4 linked regions of the Saccharomyces cerevisiae S288C genome follow. Changing the gene in region 3 together with the main gene of any one other region gives a genetic interaction. Each region holds a gene or a part of one and is shown on either strand. Other genes may lie near its edges. The genes, in order: NDE1, AMF1, RHO5 and HER1.

Evidence for each region.
Region 1: mutations in RHO5 (region 3) and NDE1 together harm fitness more than expected from each alone (negative genetic interaction), as found in Saccharomyces cerevisiae (one large-scale study listed by BioGRID).
Region 2: of RHO5 (region 3) and AMF1, a mutation in one rescues a mutant of the other (synthetic rescue), as found in Saccharomyces cerevisiae (one large-scale study listed by BioGRID).
Region 4: of RHO5 (region 3) and HER1, a mutation in one rescues a mutant of the other (synthetic rescue), as found in Saccharomyces cerevisiae (one large-scale study listed by BioGRID).

The regions. Positions count from the first base shown.
Region 1 is NC_001145.3:554,232-558,277, reverse strand, and holds NDE1 (NADH-ubiquinone reductase (H(+)-translocating) NDE1), read left to right. Parts: upstream 1-1,802; coding exon 1,803-3,485; downstream 3,486-4,046. Other genes in the region: TIF34 (translation initiation factor eIF3 subunit i), read left to right, coding at 1-797; FDO1 (Fdo1p), read right to left, coding at 3,888-4,046.
Region 2 is NC_001147.6:1,047,925-1,051,558, forward strand, and holds AMF1 (Amf1p), read left to right. Parts: upstream 1-1,586; coding exon 1,587-3,134; downstream 3,135-3,634. Other genes in the region: RDR1 (Rdr1p), read left to right, coding at 3,366-3,634. UniProt on the Saccharomyces cerevisiae protein: Low affinity ammonium transporter of the plasma membrane. May be involved in drug resistance through pumping them out of the cell.
Region 3 is NC_001146.8:299,138-302,374, reverse strand, and holds RHO5 (Rho family GTPase RHO5), read left to right. Parts: upstream 1-1,725; coding exon 1,726-2,721; downstream 2,722-3,237. Other genes in the region: PBR1 (putative oxidoreductase), read right to left, coding at 2,817-3,237. UniProt on the Saccharomyces cerevisiae protein: Small GTPase that negatively regulates a MAP kinase branch, downstream of SLT2, of the PKC1-mediated signal transduction pathway.
Region 4 is NC_001147.6:761,209-767,151, forward strand, and holds HER1 (Her1p), read left to right. Parts: upstream 1-1,616; coding exon 1,617-5,357; downstream 5,358-5,943. Other genes in the region: DNA-directed RNA polymerase core subunit RPB8, read right to left, coding at 1-57; putative iron-binding protein ISU2, read right to left, coding at 406-876; MCP1 (Mcp1p), read right to left, coding at 5,661-5,943. UniProt on the Saccharomyces cerevisiae protein: Required for HMG2-induced endoplasmic reticulum-remodeling.

The sequences.
Region 1 (4,046 bases), on a different chromosome or scaffold from region 3:
ACGGGCAATGTGTTGCTACATGGAAATCGCCTGTCCCCGTTAAAAGAGTTGAATTTTCCCCATGCGGTAACTACTTTCTAGCTATCTTGGACAACGTCATGAAAAATCCAGGTTCCATTAACATATACGAAATTGAAAGAGATTCCGCCACTCACGAATTAACAAAGGTCTCCGAAGAGCCAATCCATAAAATTATCACTCATGAAGGTTTAGACGCTGCCACCGTGGCTGGATGGTCGACTAAGGGCAAATACATCATTGCAGGCCATAAAGACGGTAAGATCAGCAAATACGATGTGTCCAACAACTACGAATACGTGGATTCCATCGATTTGCACGAAAAGTCCATCAGTGACATGCAATTTTCTCCTGATTTAACATACTTTATTACATCATCCAGAGATACTAACTCGTTCTTGGTCGATGTATCGACTCTACAAGTTCTTAAGAAATACGAAACAGACTGTCCTCTAAACACCGCCGTAATCACCCCATTGAAGGAATTCATTATTCTTGGTGGTGGTCAAGAGGCCAAGGATGTCACCACCACCAGTGCCAACGAAGGTAAGTTTGAAGCTAGGTTCTACCACAAGATCTTCGAAGAAGAAATCGGCAGAGTACAAGGCCATTTTGGTCCCTTGAACACAGTTGCCATTAGCCCACAGGGCACAAGTTATGCCTCCGGTGGTGAAGATGGGTTCATACGTCTACACCATTTCGAAAAATCTTACTTTGATTTCAAATACGACGTGGAGAAGGCCGCCGAAGCTAAAGAGCACATGCAAGAAGCTAATTAATGTTAATTTTGATGCTGATGTTGATGTATAGTAAACATACATATATGCATATACGCACGTATATATATATAAGAATATGAAACCCAAACTGTGGATATTATTTCGTTTATTATGATCTCTCGCATATCTTGATACGAAGTGCAAGTCATTATAATATTTAGACTTTTCATTACGTTAATAGAGAGTCACTTTAACCACGAGGGGAAAAAACACATACCCCTCCCCTTCGAGGTAATCTTCCGGTGAGATCTTCCCTGTATGCAGTTCCCGGGCATAGGCGGGTTTAACATCTTGCTAAAGAACTATCGCACTAACCCTCTGGTACCCAATGCCGAGATTCGGTAATGGGGGCACGGCACTACGGAAAAAAAACTACAATTCTAACTCTACCCCGCCCCTTACGAAAACGCCCTAGCTCAACCATTCCGACCGATAAAAAGTTGCCGCGATCCCGTCGATCGCATTTGGTTTTGAGGTAAAAAAAGAAAGCGACAGGGATCTTCTCCACGATGCTCGAGATGCCCTGGTCCTCGCTATGGCATTACTCTGGCCTCAGCGGTATTTGCATTCACAACCATCACCATCGGGATGGTAATACATGGCTCGGCAATGAGAAGAGTTTTGGCACACATGGGCCACTCCTTATGCTTTCTTTCCGTTGTCTCGAAGCGTGTGGTGTTTCTATTTTCATTCTCCTTCTTGGGTGTATATATAAAAGAGGTTGTGTTATATAAGACAACGCTCATTGGCCTGTTCTTGATTTTGATTTTTTCCGCTTTTGTGCTGTTGGGGCTAGAACTATAAGTGTGTCGATTGTTTTTATCTTCATTATTTCTTTTGCATGTTTAGTATTTAGACTAAATTTATACGCAGCTACTATCTTTTATTATATATTCTGGTAAACCAATTAAAGAGAGAAAAAGGAAAAAAATTTTCACACTAATATTCTTCATATAGCATCATAATATTGACTTATTAGAGCAAATAAAAAATTAACCAATAATAATGATTAGACAATCATTAATGAAAACAGTGTGGGCTAACTCCTCCAGGTTTAGCCTACAGAGCAAGTCGGGGCTTGTGAAATATGCCAAAAATAGATCGTTCCATGCAGCAAGAAATTTGCTAGAGGACAAGAAAGTCATTTTGCAAAAAGTGGCGCCCACTACTGGCGTTGTTGCGAAGCAGTCCTTTTTCAAGAGAACTGGGAAATTTACTTTGAAGGCTTTATTGTATTCTGCCCTCGCGGGTACGGCTTACGTTTCATACTCACTTTACCGAGAAGCTAACCCTTCTACCCAAGTTCCTCAATCGGACACTTTTCCAAACGGTTCAAAGAGGAAGACTTTGGTAATTCTGGGCTCCGGTTGGGGTTCTGTGTCGCTTTTGAAAAATTTGGACACCACGTTGTATAATGTTGTTGTTGTTTCTCCAAGAAATTATTTTCTTTTTACTCCGCTATTGCCATCTACCCCAGTTGGTACCATCGAATTGAAATCTATTGTTGAACCTGTCAGGACTATTGCTAGAAGATCGCACGGTGAAGTCCATTACTATGAAGCTGAAGCGTACGACGTTGATCCTGAAAACAAAACAATTAAGGTCAAATCTTCCGCTAAGAATAACGACTACGACTTGGACTTGAAATACGACTATCTGGTTGTCGGTGTGGGTGCTCAACCAAACACTTTTGGTACTCCGGGAGTTTATGAATATTCTTCTTTCTTGAAGGAAATATCCGACGCTCAAGAGATCAGATTAAAAATTATGTCCAGTATTGAGAAAGCTGCCTCCCTATCTCCAAAAGATCCTGAGAGAGCAAGATTGTTGAGCTTTGTTGTCGTTGGTGGTGGTCCCACCGGTGTCGAATTTGCCGCTGAATTGAGAGATTATGTTGACCAGGACTTGAGAAAATGGATGCCCGAATTGAGTAAAGAAATTAAAGTCACTTTGGTGGAGGCTTTGCCAAACATTTTGAACATGTTTGACAAGTATCTCGTTGACTATGCTCAAGATTTATTCAAAGAGGAAAAAATCGATTTAAGATTGAAAACAATGGTTAAGAAAGTTGACGCTACCACTATAACTGCCAAAACTGGCGATGGTGACATTGAAAATATACCGTATGGTGTATTAGTTTGGGCTACAGGTAATGCGCCAAGAGAAGTGTCTAAGAACCTAATGACTAAATTAGAGGAACAGGACTCAAGACGTGGTTTGTTGATAGATAACAAACTTCAACTTTTGGGTGCTAAGGGATCTATTTTTGCTATCGGCGATTGTACCTTCCACCCTGGCTTGTTCCCTACCGCTCAAGTTGCCCACCAAGAAGGTGAATACTTGGCTCAGTATTTCAAGAAAGCTTATAAAATCGATCAATTGAACTGGAAAATGACCCATGCTAAAGACGATTCAGAAGTCGCTAGATTAAAGAACCAAATAGTCAAAACGCAATCGCAAATTGAAGACTTCAAGTACAACCATAAGGGTGCTCTGGCTTATATTGGTTCAGATAAAGCCATTGCTGATCTTGCCGTTGGTGAAGCCAAATATAGGTTAGCCGGCTCATTCACCTTCCTATTCTGGAAATCTGCTTATTTGGCAATGTGTCTATCCTTTAGAAACAGAGTTCTTGTCGCTATGGATTGGGCTAAAGTTTATTTCTTGGGTAGAGATTCATCTATCTAGTAGAAATAGATACAAGAGAATAACATTTTTAAATGATGATCAGTTTTGTTTTTTATTTTATTTTTTCCAGTTAGTTTGTTTTGTCTTTCATATTATTTCTTTTTTTATCGATATTTTAGCAGAGGCCTTGTCCCTTTTTTATGCTAATAAAATTAAAATTGTTTTATATACATAATCATAATTTATCATTTGTTGCCTCAAACTGATATTCTATCTTAAAAAAAAGGGAAAATGAGTGAGACAATATTTAGATAAACCATCATCAAATATTTAATTTCCAAGAGAAATAAAGTATGTATAATATAATGTTAATGATATCAACTAATGAATCGAAGAGAAAGCGCGGGTGTTGACATTGTGTATTTCTTGCCATCAAGAACAAACATTATCTAGTATCTTTGATCACTTAATATCCTTAATGCTTCCGTCTATGGTACTGAAACTTTTCATTTTGGGCAATTGGAGGGTCCTATTCCCATGTGAATCCTGAATTGACTCATCTTTAGTATTTGGTCGATTGTGTGTAATAGTCCTTCCCATTTCAGGACTGCACGTAATTTC
Region 2 (3,634 bases), on a different chromosome or scaffold from region 3:
TAGAGTTGATTTAAGATCAGATCGAAGTAAATAACGTGCAGAACATTGCATATGATAGATAACAACCTATAGTATATATTTCAAAATCGCGACAAATCTGAAATATTAATTGATTTGATTAGCTGCAGAGATCTTCTCGATGTAAGGAGCTATTTAAATAGAAAGGGTCAGAATCGTCGTCCTGTGGGAGCTGGTATATACTAAATTGATGAACAACTAAAATAGCACTCTCATTGTCATTTTGGGTGTGAGACCTTAAGCAAGGAGAGATATTTTTAATGGATGTATTAGCGCAGCCGTTGCTTACGGTATTCCTTGGCATATTGTCCCTGAAAAAAAACCGTTGTACACTCGGATACGCATTTTTCGGACTTCTCCCACCCAAGAAACGCAACTTTTGAAGGGCGCCTACACCACTAGACCAACAAGGCCAATGCAAAGCTACAAACAAATGCGTGGGCGCATGGGCATAAGGAGGTGTAAAAAGCTTTTTTTTTTTATGTGAGGAATTACAGGCGGAAGATACTCAAATAAAGCACTGATTTGATGTTACCGAACTTTTCCCCAGGCATAAAATTTTATTTTCATATTTCATCAATTCGATATTATTGATATCGCACCTAATGTAGTCATTTCCTTTCTCTCTTTGCTAGTAGATTTTAAAAAGGTTTCTTGCTGTATTTTTTTATACTTTTATAGACGCCGCTTTCCAAAGTTCATCTAAAATAAGTCGCTACAATGATTTGATCTTGATTCGGTGCTTCAGGAGCCTGCTTGCTTCTTTGCAGCTTCGGCAATTTGGAACCTTGTGTGCATATCCTCGTTTGTAAGCCCAGAAGCACACAGACATCGATCACATCTATAATAGGAGCATGCTATCATAAAAGATTCACAGTATTCGTATAATTACATGGCAGACTTTTTGAAAAGAATGGTATGGAACCAAGTGAGCGCCTAGAAAAAAAGCTGAAAAGCTGAAATCTTAATTGGATAAGAAACTTCAATAACATTTTTCACGCGTTTCTTTTTCAACTAGATTAGCCTTAACAAACGACAATCATCGAGTACCCACGCTCATTACGCTGAACGTGCAAATGTAACGGGGTGGAAACCTAAAACGTTGAATGAACTAGCCAGAACGATGACAATTGCGGCAAGCTTTCCATACGTGTTCTGTTGTTGCGGCTTAGAGTGGTAGGTAACCGCGCCAAGCAAAATTACCTACCACTTTAAGCCCAAAAAGGTGATGTGTAGCTATTGCGGCTGTGGCGGCTATTGCGGTTGTCGCCACGCTTGTCGCCAGGGTTGTCGCTACGAATGTTTCAGCTTTTTTTTCAATGGGCCACTCTTTTCACGTGAAGCGCTCCACGAAATGTGCGGATATTGCGGAAGCTCTCAATGATGAGCTATCGGTAGGGATTAAAATAAACGAGATTTGGCAGCAGTTTTAAATACCAAGGGAGTAGTATATCTAGCCTCCAATAACTTCATTTGTGGAAACTTACTTCTATCTCACTCTCTACCTGAAAAGAAAACAAATATTGTACATTCATCAATTGCTGGAACATAAAGAACATAAAATCAATATGTCAACTAGCTCCTCCGTAACGCAGAAAAACTTGGATACAAACGCGGAAGCCTTGAAAAAGGAGGATAAAGTATTATCAGAGTTTGATATTCAGGATGAGAGGCCTAAATCCCTTTTATGGGAGAGTGCCTTTGTCGGAGTGCTGTGCTCTGCCCAACTAATGACTCAGGCAGGACTTGGACAATCATTAGCGCCGCTTCACATCATCGGTAACAGTTTTGGAACAACGAATGCTGGACAACTTAGTTGGTTTGCTTCCGCATATTCGCTAACTGTTGGTACATTCATTTTAATTGCTGGAAGACTCGGAGATATCTTCGGACACAAGAAATTCTTTGTCCTTGGCTTCTTTTGGTACGCACTTTGGTCCTTACTTGCTGGGTTTAGCGTCTACTCTAATCAGATTTTTTTTGACTGCTGTCGTGCATTTCAAGGCATGGGTCCGGCCTTTTTGTTGCCAAATGCCATTGCGATTCTCGGACGCACATATAAGCCAGGAAGAAGAAAAAACATGGTCTTTAGTCTGTTTGGTGCTTCAGCACCTGGTGGCTTCTTCCTTGGGGCTGTTTTCTCATCCATGTTGGGTCAACTGGCGTGGTGGCCATGGGCTTACTGGATAATGGGTATTGCATGCTTTGTTTTAGCTGTAGCAGGTTACTTTGTAATCCCTCACACCCCCATGCCAAGCCGCGATGCCTCATCTTTCAAGTTGTTGGAACGAATCGATTTTGCAGGGTCAGTTACCGGCGTTGTTGGATTAATTCTCTTTAATTTCGCTTGGAACCAAGGCCCCGTTGTGGGTTGGCAAACTCCATACACATACGCTCTTTTGATAGTTGGTACCTTTTTCTTGGTTATTTTTGCATATATCGAGTCCCGAGCAGCTTTCCCTCTGCTACCATTTGCTGCTCTTTCTAGTGATACTGCTTTTGTACTTAGCTGCATAGCTGCGGGATGGGCCAGCTTTGGTATTTGGATATTCTATACATGGCAGTTCATGGAAGACTCAAGGGGCCAAACCCCCCTTCTTTCTAGTGCACAGTTTTCACCTGTAGCAATCAGTGGATTTTGTGCAGCCGTGACGACAGGTTTCCTTCTAAGCCATACACCCCCAAGCACAGTTATGCTTTTTGCGATGACAGCTTTCACAGTCGGAACTATATTGATTGCTACGGCCCCCGTTCACCAAACGTATTGGGCTCAAACGTTTGTGTCAATCATTGTTATGCCTTGGGGAATGGACATGTCCTTTCCGGCCGCTACAATAATGCTTAGTGACTCGATGCCACACGAACATCAAGGTCTTGCAGCCTCTTTGGTTAATACGGTGGTAAACTATTCGATATCGATAGGTTTGGGTATTGCAGGTACAATTGAATCTAGAGTAAATGACGGAGGTGCCAAGCCTTTGAAAGGATATCGTTGTTCGTGGTACATGGGCATCGGGTTGAGCGGACTTGGCATTTTTGTCGCAGCAACGTATGCATGGAGCACTTTTATGAAGTCTAAAAAAAGGATCTCCGAAAAGCAGCATTTTATAGAATAAGTTCATATATAGAGAAATACTTCATCGTGGTATATAACCCAAACTAATAGAAATAAATATAGTACGATCAAAGTGATAGAGAGGAGCCAGTATATCCCGTATCGTGCGATAAATATGAAAATTACAAGAGGCCATTCTCGAGTGAAAAGATACATTATTTTTTCAAGTAGAAACCTGAAAGAACTTCAGTAAGATAACTTAGCGCACACTTTCCTACTTTAAGCTCACCAAATGGCATCCCCAGGATCGACAGCATTACCACACAAGCGACAAAGAGTCCGAAAGGCTTGCGTGCCCTGTAGGGAACGTAAAAGGAAATGTAATGGCAAATCTCCATGTGAAATGTGCGTTGCCTATGGATATGTATGTCATTATATTGACGGTCGTGTCCCTTCGGCATCACCTCAAGTGCAACAAGTAGGTGAAACATCTCCTGATACGGAGAGCAGACCTTTTGTTCTTCCGGGTATACATAGAAACGAACAACCGCAGCCTATAAA
Region 3 (3,237 bases):
TTCCAAAGGAACATGAAAAGAAGTGAAATCAAGAAAAAAAAACAAGAGAATTTACCGGCGGCCAAAAATACTAACGTAATCCCGTTGACGTTTACGCATGCAGTGTTGTAGGCTCACCAGCAATTATGTTAGTTGAGATGTAACTGCTTCGCGTGAACACTACGTAAATGTTATTGTGTGGAACTGACGTGGACCTTTTCTGTGTTGCTTTTAGTATAACGATATCCATCCTTTTACTTGGATTTTCAAGGTATGTTGACCCTCAATAGTTTGAGCCAGCACGATGGCAGGCCCTTAGGCAAATCAAAAGCATCATGCGGCGGAGGATTTATCATCGTGATGTCATTTAGGATAACGCTATGCATCTTATGCCTGCTGCCAGACCGCGAATTTTTATTTTTTTTATGGTCTGCTTCTGGATCATGCGGGCCGGCCTTCTAAGACATTGACTACGCAGCCTTTCATGTACAATTTTACATTTGCCTGAGGATTGTTTGTCAGGTGTCGCGGCCACAATTCTCCGATTTTCTTCCTGCCATGTCCTGCTGCTTACATCAGCGCAGCACGTGAAAAAAAAGAGGAGGACTTTTGAGGATGGTTGAGTTTTTCTTTTAATCGTTTTGTTTCTTTATTGTTTTTATTTTTACGACATTTTCCCCTCGAAGAATATTTATCCGAAATCTCCTCAAACAAGACATAAATCAAGATGCAAATGGTGGTAGATAGAGAAAGCAACTAAAAAATGTCAAACAAGCGTCCTTATTTCATTCTACAGCGGTTAATTTCAAATACCCTAATCGGAGGTCTTATCTTATTTTTCAAGGGCAAGGCTCTCCACATCGGTAAGTGATGACCAGATAATGGAAAGTAGCAGAATTTTATTTATGTGCCATACAAGCCCGGAGAAACAGAGTAGCTAAAAAATTAAGGTGTGCAAAAGTGGTTTTGTTCCCCGACGCCCGGGCCTTTCTCTCCCCTGAATCTTTTCGTTCCGGCCCCCCTCTCTCAATACCAGATCTGCATCTATACTAAAGCTGCAGTGAGAGTAAACCGGAAAATTATCCTGCGTGTTTGCTTCGGTCTTAGCTTTTACTTGGGTATGCGAGAACCTCTAAGAGCTTAGACCGGTCTTCCTCCCTAAAAAGAAAATTATAAAAGGTTATTATCTGGACTAAAGCAAAAAAAAAACAACGTTTCGGCGTCCGCTCAAAATTTTCATTACGCTTCTTGGTCAAATCAGTTACGTAACGGGTTATGACGAATACGATGAGATGAGTAATTGCAGAAGGCTCCTATGCAGACAGCTAAGCAGTGCTTACTTGAATTACCTTCCCTTTTATTTCTTGATATATCGTCCTTTTTCTCTCTATCTTAGTTCTTGCGAGTACTGGCAATCATGTTTCTCCTTTTTTTTTCTTTTTTTTTTATTTTTTTTTTTTTTTTTTACTTTTCAGTTTCTCGTAGCTTTTCCTATTTTGCTATTTAAAGTAAGTTTAAATAGTACCCTCACTAAACACGTACGGCCGATCCACCAACGAACAAAAGCACGATCCTTGACCCATCATTGTATTCCAAAGCGTTGGAACATTCACTTTTTTTTTTCCGGTCTATTGCACAAGACAATATCCAGAATATTCAGTTGGATAGGAAATACAAGACAGGTGGCACCCACAAAGCACACGCCGAAATATTTATTAAATACAATATAGTATACTAATAAGTCTGATGAGGTCTATTAAATGTGTGATAATTGGTGATGGTGCAGTAGGTAAAACGTCACTTCTAATATCATATACTACCAATTCGTTCCCAACAGACTATGTTCCAACGGTTTTTGATAATTATTCTACTACGATAGCTATCCCGAACGGAACTGCGAGTAGCCCCCTAGAGCTTGACAATGGTAATGATAAAAGAGGTTCACTTTCATCTGCCAGTTCTTCACCAAGTACGGACAGAAAACTATATAAAATCAATTTATGGGACACTGCAGGACAGGAAGATTACGATCGTTTAAGACCGTTATGTTATCCCCAAACAGATATTTTTTTAATATGTTTCTCAGTAAGCGAACATGCTAGTTTTGCCAATGTCACAGAAAAATGGCTACCTGAACTGAAGCAGACTTCCAATATTGAAGGTACCTCTCTTTATACTAAATTAGGGAAGTATCCAATTCTATTGGTAGGCACCAAAAGTGACCTAAGAGATGATCCGGCAACTCAGAAAAAATTGCAGGAAGCAAACTCCGATTACGTGTCTCAAGAGGAAATAGATGAACTCGTACAAAGATGTGGGTTTATGGGCTATACCGAATGTTCAGCTGCTACCCAAGCAGGTGTCCGGGAAGTCTTTGAACAGGCGGTGAGGTACGCTATCTACGAACCAGAATCCCCTAACCAAAAATCAGCAAATCATACTCTAACTGATGAATTAACGACTGCAACAACCAACACCAATGGAGATAAAAATATTCGAGAACAAAAACAGCAACCACACCATAATAATAGTACAGATAGTACTCTTCCGAAAGGAAGCTTACAGCAGGAGAAGGAAGCTCTCAATATCAAACCCACAAAAAAGGGACAAAAAGACAAAATTCACGAGCAATCAAAAAGCAAAGGTAGTAAAATTGCCTCAAATAATCATCACAACAAGCAAGCTAAACCAAAGACGAGAAACGACAAGAAGAAAAAGAAGTCAAAGTGTGTAATACTTTAATATCAAGGAGGCAGAAAAAGTAAATAAATAATTACATATACCGATATCATAAATAAGAAAAAAAGAAATCTACACATATATTTACGTTCTCATTTCTAATCATCTTTTCTACTCTTGTTCTGACTCTTCTTTTTAGAATTTTGATTCCCGGTCTTATTGGCATTTCTCTTTGCCGCGACTTTCTTTTCCAATTGTAAAATATCTCTTTCCGTATTATCAAATAGTTTCTTCTGTAATTCCTCGTCATCAAATTCTTTACGAGCAAATTTCACAATTGAACAGTCTGAGATATACTTAACCTTCGTGTCTTTTAAGTTTACTTCCTCCAATTCCGGTGTCATTAAAGCGTACAAGAAACTTTGATCACCACGACGACCACTCTTGGTAAACAGCCACAATATGGGGTACAACAGAATACAGTAAAGTATTATTAACAATACCACCGAACCATTACTAATGACGCGGCGTAGGCTATTTGATCTCATAGTTCCAGGTTGAACCATAGTAATGGTAACA
Region 4 (5,943 bases), on a different chromosome or scaffold from region 3:
ACGACCGGGATCAACTTCCGAGACTTGGAATATATCATCAAATAGAGTGTTAGACATTGCTGCGGTTGTTATGGAAGCAATGAGCTGGCAACTGGGCTTTTATAGCTGCCATCACAGTTTAAATATTCTGAAATTTTTCATCTTAGTTTTCGCTTTAGAAAAAAAAAAATGTGAAAATGAAAGATGAAAATAAGACCTGGAGAAAACCTATCACGTCTGACGAACATGAAAAAACTAAGTCAAAATTTGATACATAATGTCACTAGTATTATGACTGTTTCTGATATTAATTACTTATTATTATACCTAATTATTCTTTTAACCCTTTCTATAAAACAACCAGAAAAAAAAAACCGGAAAGAGAGGACCTCTTGTATTTTATCATATTATCGTATCGCCTCTCTTTCAATGCAAAACGGAGGGGTTCCTCTTTGTTTTGTAGTCCTTGATTGCCGCCTTGATAGCGTCTTCTGCAAGCATGGAACAATGCAGTTTTACTGGAGGAAGACTTAGCTCCTTCGCGATTTCCGTGTTTTTAATTTTAACGGCCTCATCAAGTGACATACCGCGTACCAGCTCGGTCATGTAGGAGGAGGAAGCGATGGCAGACCCACACCCGAAGGTCTTGAACTTAACGTTCTCGATAATACCCGATTTATCATTCACCTGTATTTGTAGTTTTATCACATCACCACACGCAGGGGCGCCCACGATTCCTGTGCCGACATTAGCTAAGGACTTATCCATGGACCCAACGTTTCTTGGGTTTGTGTAGTGGTCAATTACCTTAGGATGGTAAAGTCTTTTGGCAGCTCTTGTTATGTGGGAGCCCGTGAGAGGCTTGAAGTGGGCAGGATTAGCGAGTCTGGCGAACATCTATGCTGTGCTATGTTTGTTGGTGATGTATGAGCTGTAATGAAACCTCAGCGTTGTCTACATATGCTTCTTTTGCTGTTGTTATATACTGCTATACTGCTGCACCGGCCGGCCCCAGGTGCTTATTAATAGTAGGTTCCGCATAGGGAAAAAACGAGGGCGCCAAAAAACGTTGGGCCTGAACCGGACTCTGAAACAATAGAATCATGGTGACTCGGATATATGCAGTATGCTGTGTATCTGTATTATGGGTGTACATATATAAACATCTGACCACTATAAAGTTGCAGTCATAATTCCATACCATGCCTTTCTAGACTGGGAAGGTGCGGACCCTGTAATGAAATAAGAATAATTCCATAGTGGTTTGGCGTTTCCTTTTCCGGGTTATGCTTAATTATTTCTTGAGTTTGTCTGCCTTTTGTTTTTGCTTAGTAACGTTAAGGGGCAGGTTAAAGAAGCGACATGATTGACAGTTCGATGGGTTAAGGTGGAAAGCGAACCCTCTATAACTTACATTTGACTCTTCCATTTGGTTGCAGTTGCCACATTTCTCGAGAACTAGCCTGTTCCCGTTTTATTACCACTTGCATTACGTATTTTCTCCTTTCCTCCTCGCACCAGTTCCCTTCCTTCAGTGATACTGTCGTCTAATATTTGACTGAGTCCCTTCCTTTTTTCTTCATTCTCTTTGGCCATTGTATATGTATTAATTTGTATCTGGTTGAATCTAGTCTGACATGAGCTCCAAGTTGAAGTACACTGATATAGATGTGCCATTGGACTGGTTGTATAAGGGGAAACGAAGGAATAGGACCAAAAGTGCGGCTTCCACGCGCACTTCAGAAGCTACCACCACCTCTGTAAAGAAAACTGCTACTTTGCCATCAACCGCAGCTGTTCCTACGAAAACTATAGCTTCTCCTCAAAGGCCCCTGAGCGGCCAGAATGTAAATAACGAATTATCCAACTCTAAACCAGCAGTATCCGCCGAGAAGGTTTCGCAGCAAGGACAAGTGCCCACTAGGAGGACTCGTTCTCACTCAGTATCGTACGGCCTACTCCAGAAGAAGAATAATAACGATGACACCACAGATTCTCCTAAAATATCTCGAATTAGAACGGCACAGGATCAACCTGTTAAGGAAACAAAAAGCAGCACCCTTGCGGAACCCATCGTTTCAAAGAAGGGGAGAAGTCGTTCTTCTTCTATATCAACTTCTTTGAATGAACGATCTAAGAAATCTCTGTTCGGTTCTTTGTTCGGGAGAAGGCCTTCCACCACTCCCTCGCACGTTGTTGAAAGACCGTTGTCTTCTCAGAATGACCATAAAAAAAGCACAGAACTCCCTCCTATAGATACCAGACAGTCAAAGATCTCCACCCCAACTAGTACTCCTACCACTGCATCTTCCAAACCCAGTAGTTCTGGTGGGAATAGACATTCTGATGGATCTCTTACTTCAAAACTTCTAAGTATTCCTCATAACATCTTGGAAACCTCTTCTACGAATTTTAATGCCCACCACCATATCCAGTCACATCATAGTAGTGGTCGTGAACAAGACTCGCCCCATTCTGAATCATCAGACCTCCCTCCCATTTTAGAAAAAGAAACTACGCAAAAACAATTACAGAAGGTGTCAAAGGTAAATTTGAAAAGGGTTACTATTGCAGTTCAAGAATTTAACTCAGATCCCCCACAACAACTACCTTCTAGGAAGCCTAAAAGGGGTAATGTTCTCATACCAGAAGATATGATTAGTGCCCCCCCACTAATCTCTCTGGGAATTACAAACAGCAGCGATCAAAGCAGTTTTCAGTCCAATATCTCTCCCTCATATTCAAAAGATTCTAAAGAATATAAATTAGCTTTGGAAAATTTTAAAAAAGCAGCTAAAGAAGCCGAAAAACATCAAAAGGATGCGTATTATGTTGCAGAGCGAATGGCTCAAGAAGTGGCAAACTATAAGGCCAGGCAATTGAAGACATCGCCGTTAACTGGAGCAACTAATTCAGCAGCAGATTCAGCGACGGATCAAGAATCCTCCTCTCTAGATGCTAGAGCTTCTAAGCTTCATATCGATAAACCGATCAATGTAGGTGCACATCCTTTCGAAACACATCAGGATGATAACATTAAATACTCTTCTCACCTTGAACAAACATTGGACGTAGCTTACACTAGATGCTGTCATTTGAGAGAAATTTTACCAATACCGTCCACTTTGAGACAGGTCAAAGGTAAAACCGCACCTTTGCAGACTTTGAAATTTTTGAATCCAAAACCAACCTTAGTGGATATATTATCATTTTGTGATTTTATTGCCATAACTCCGATCCATAACATCATTTTCGATAATGTGTCCTTAACCCATGATATGTTCAAGATTGTCATTTGTTCTTTGGTAACCTCTCCGGTAGTGGAGAAATTGGGGTTAAGAAATGTTGTGATAAACGAACAAAGTTGGAAACTACTTTGCAAGTTTTTATTACAAAATAAAACATTGATCAAGCTGGATATTTCTCAGACTAAAGCAAGGACAGATTTAAATGATTCTAACTACAGAGACCAAATGGACTGGGAACTATTTTGCGAAGTTCTTAGAAATAGAGAAGGTAGACCTTTGGAAGAATTGCTTTTGAATGGTTTAAGGTTTGACAAAATGTCATTCAGTCATTTCAAAAATATCCTACTTACTTTCGCACAAATGAACCCTAAAAACCCTATTCGTCTCGGGATGGCTAACGTAGAATTCTCAACCGAGTGTTTTGATTTTCTCTTTAATTGGATGTCTGAATATAACGTTCAAGGTGTGGATTTGGCCTATAATAATTTAGAAAGTTTGGCAAAACGAATGATCAAAAAACTAGCTAGGCTTCCTTATAAGCATTTGGAATATTTTACCCTTAACAGCACTAATATCACCTCTGTTGATGATATGTCCTACATACTAAAATATCTTTCACGTTTGCCAAGCATAAAATTTCTAGATTTGAGCAACTTGCCTCAGTTATTCCCGGGGATTTTAACATCCGGCTATAAGTATTTTCCCCAATTTCCACAACTGAAACGTATTCATTTTGATTTCGACGATCTTTCTATAAAAGAAACAACCATGCTTGTCAGCATATTAGCTAAGTGTGAAACCCTCTCTCATGTTTCATTGATAGGACAAAGTCCTATGCCCGATGCAAGTAAAATATCCGACAGTACTGATGAACCCGATAAGTCGAAAGATGAAAAGAAAGAACAAATCGTATTTATGAGAAATACGCTTTGGGCCTCATTGTATGCATTTGTTAGGGACTCTCACAATTTAGTTAGTTTAGACGTTGACTATGATCAAGTACCAGACGAAATTCAATCAAGAATTGCGTTATGCTTAATGCATAATATGAAGAGAATTATGGACTCTAGCTTTAAATTAGATGAATTGACTGTACAAGATGATTTAATATTTGATGGTTCCTTGATAACTGAGACAGCAGAAGAAGTTTTGAAAAGATTAAATGACAAATCTTTACTTCAAAATGATGTTGGGAAGAAATATCTTTTAAAGAAATATTTTGAGAAAATGGAAAAGGTACATCATAATGTTCAAAATACAATTGATTCTATGTTTGAGAAAAGAAAATCCGGCGAACTGCCACTGCAGGAAAAGGAAAACCTACTAAGGTTATTGCTTCTTGAGAAAAATTTATCAAATATTCTTGATATTTTTGCTTCTATGCCCAATATAGCAGATGTCGTACCATTTTCAAAAGCCGATAATAGTTTCCCTAATATTGGGGATAGCACGGTTAGCGCAAACTATAATGATGGTATTCGTCCATCTCTAAAACACTTAGATTCTGACAGGTTAATCAACGATGTTTCAATTCCTGAAAACGATTCATCAATTAGACCACACTTAATGGCCACCGACTCGGGACGAATCATCGATGTGACCACTGGTAAAGCTCTTCTTTTCAAGAGTTCGTCTAATACCTCACTGGCCGGCAAGAGACAGGAAGAAGAGGAAGGTGAATTACATAAATGGGGTGTGTTTGTACAGCACCAAAGCTCAAGACATAACTCTGGGCTTCCTTCATCCGCCAATTCTTCGAGAATTAGCGGGTCGTTAACACCAGATAGCAGTGTCGCCGGAGGAAAGAAAGGGGAATCCTCTCGCACATCTGGTACAAGGCCAAAAATCTTACCAAAGATTCCTACCGGTGCCGAATTAAGGGATGCCATTATTAAAGCTAAGGGTATTGATTCTGTAGATGATCTGATTAAAAATGTTACCTCTGAAAAGGTTGGATTGGAATCATTATATGGAGATGAATTGAACTCTAGAAGCCCGAGTAATGACAGTTTACAAGAATCACAACAAAAGGCGCCTTTGCAGAGGCCCCTTGTTGAAGATGAAACAGTGACAAAAAAATATGACAAACTATTGAACGATCTGTCTAATGTTCGTCACAGTAAAACCTAAATTATTTTATGCTTCTGTCTTTCCTTTCTCTTTCGATTATTAGAAGGTGCATCTTTGTATAAATATCCCATCAATAATGTATTCTTAGGAATCTATATATGTATGTACGTTTTATGTGTATATGTATTTTACGTTTTTTCATAATCATATACTTTCTGCCGAAATTTTTTGCCTTCATTATGCACACTAATGTTATTAATCAGATAAAAATACAGAAATTTAAAATAAATACTGAGAATAATATAATTAACTGTTCGAGAATTGTCGCAAATTAATAGCTTCACACTACTCCCACAAGGATTCCTAATTCACGTGCAACAGCAACCGGATCTTTTTGAAAATGCTTTCGAATTGGTTGGGACCCAGTTTCGTAGAATCCTCTTTCATCAATCTAATCAGAGAAACGAACCCAACGAGTGTTAATAGATTGATAGCTGTGGACCATTTTTTCCTGCTAGTCATTTTTCTAACACCGAAATAACGGCAGAGCCCCGAACCTATATGATATACACCTGACTCGAGGAGAATAGCTAACGGCACCAGGCCTCCAAGCCATTTCCACCACCTGTTCTTGCTAGATAGTAAT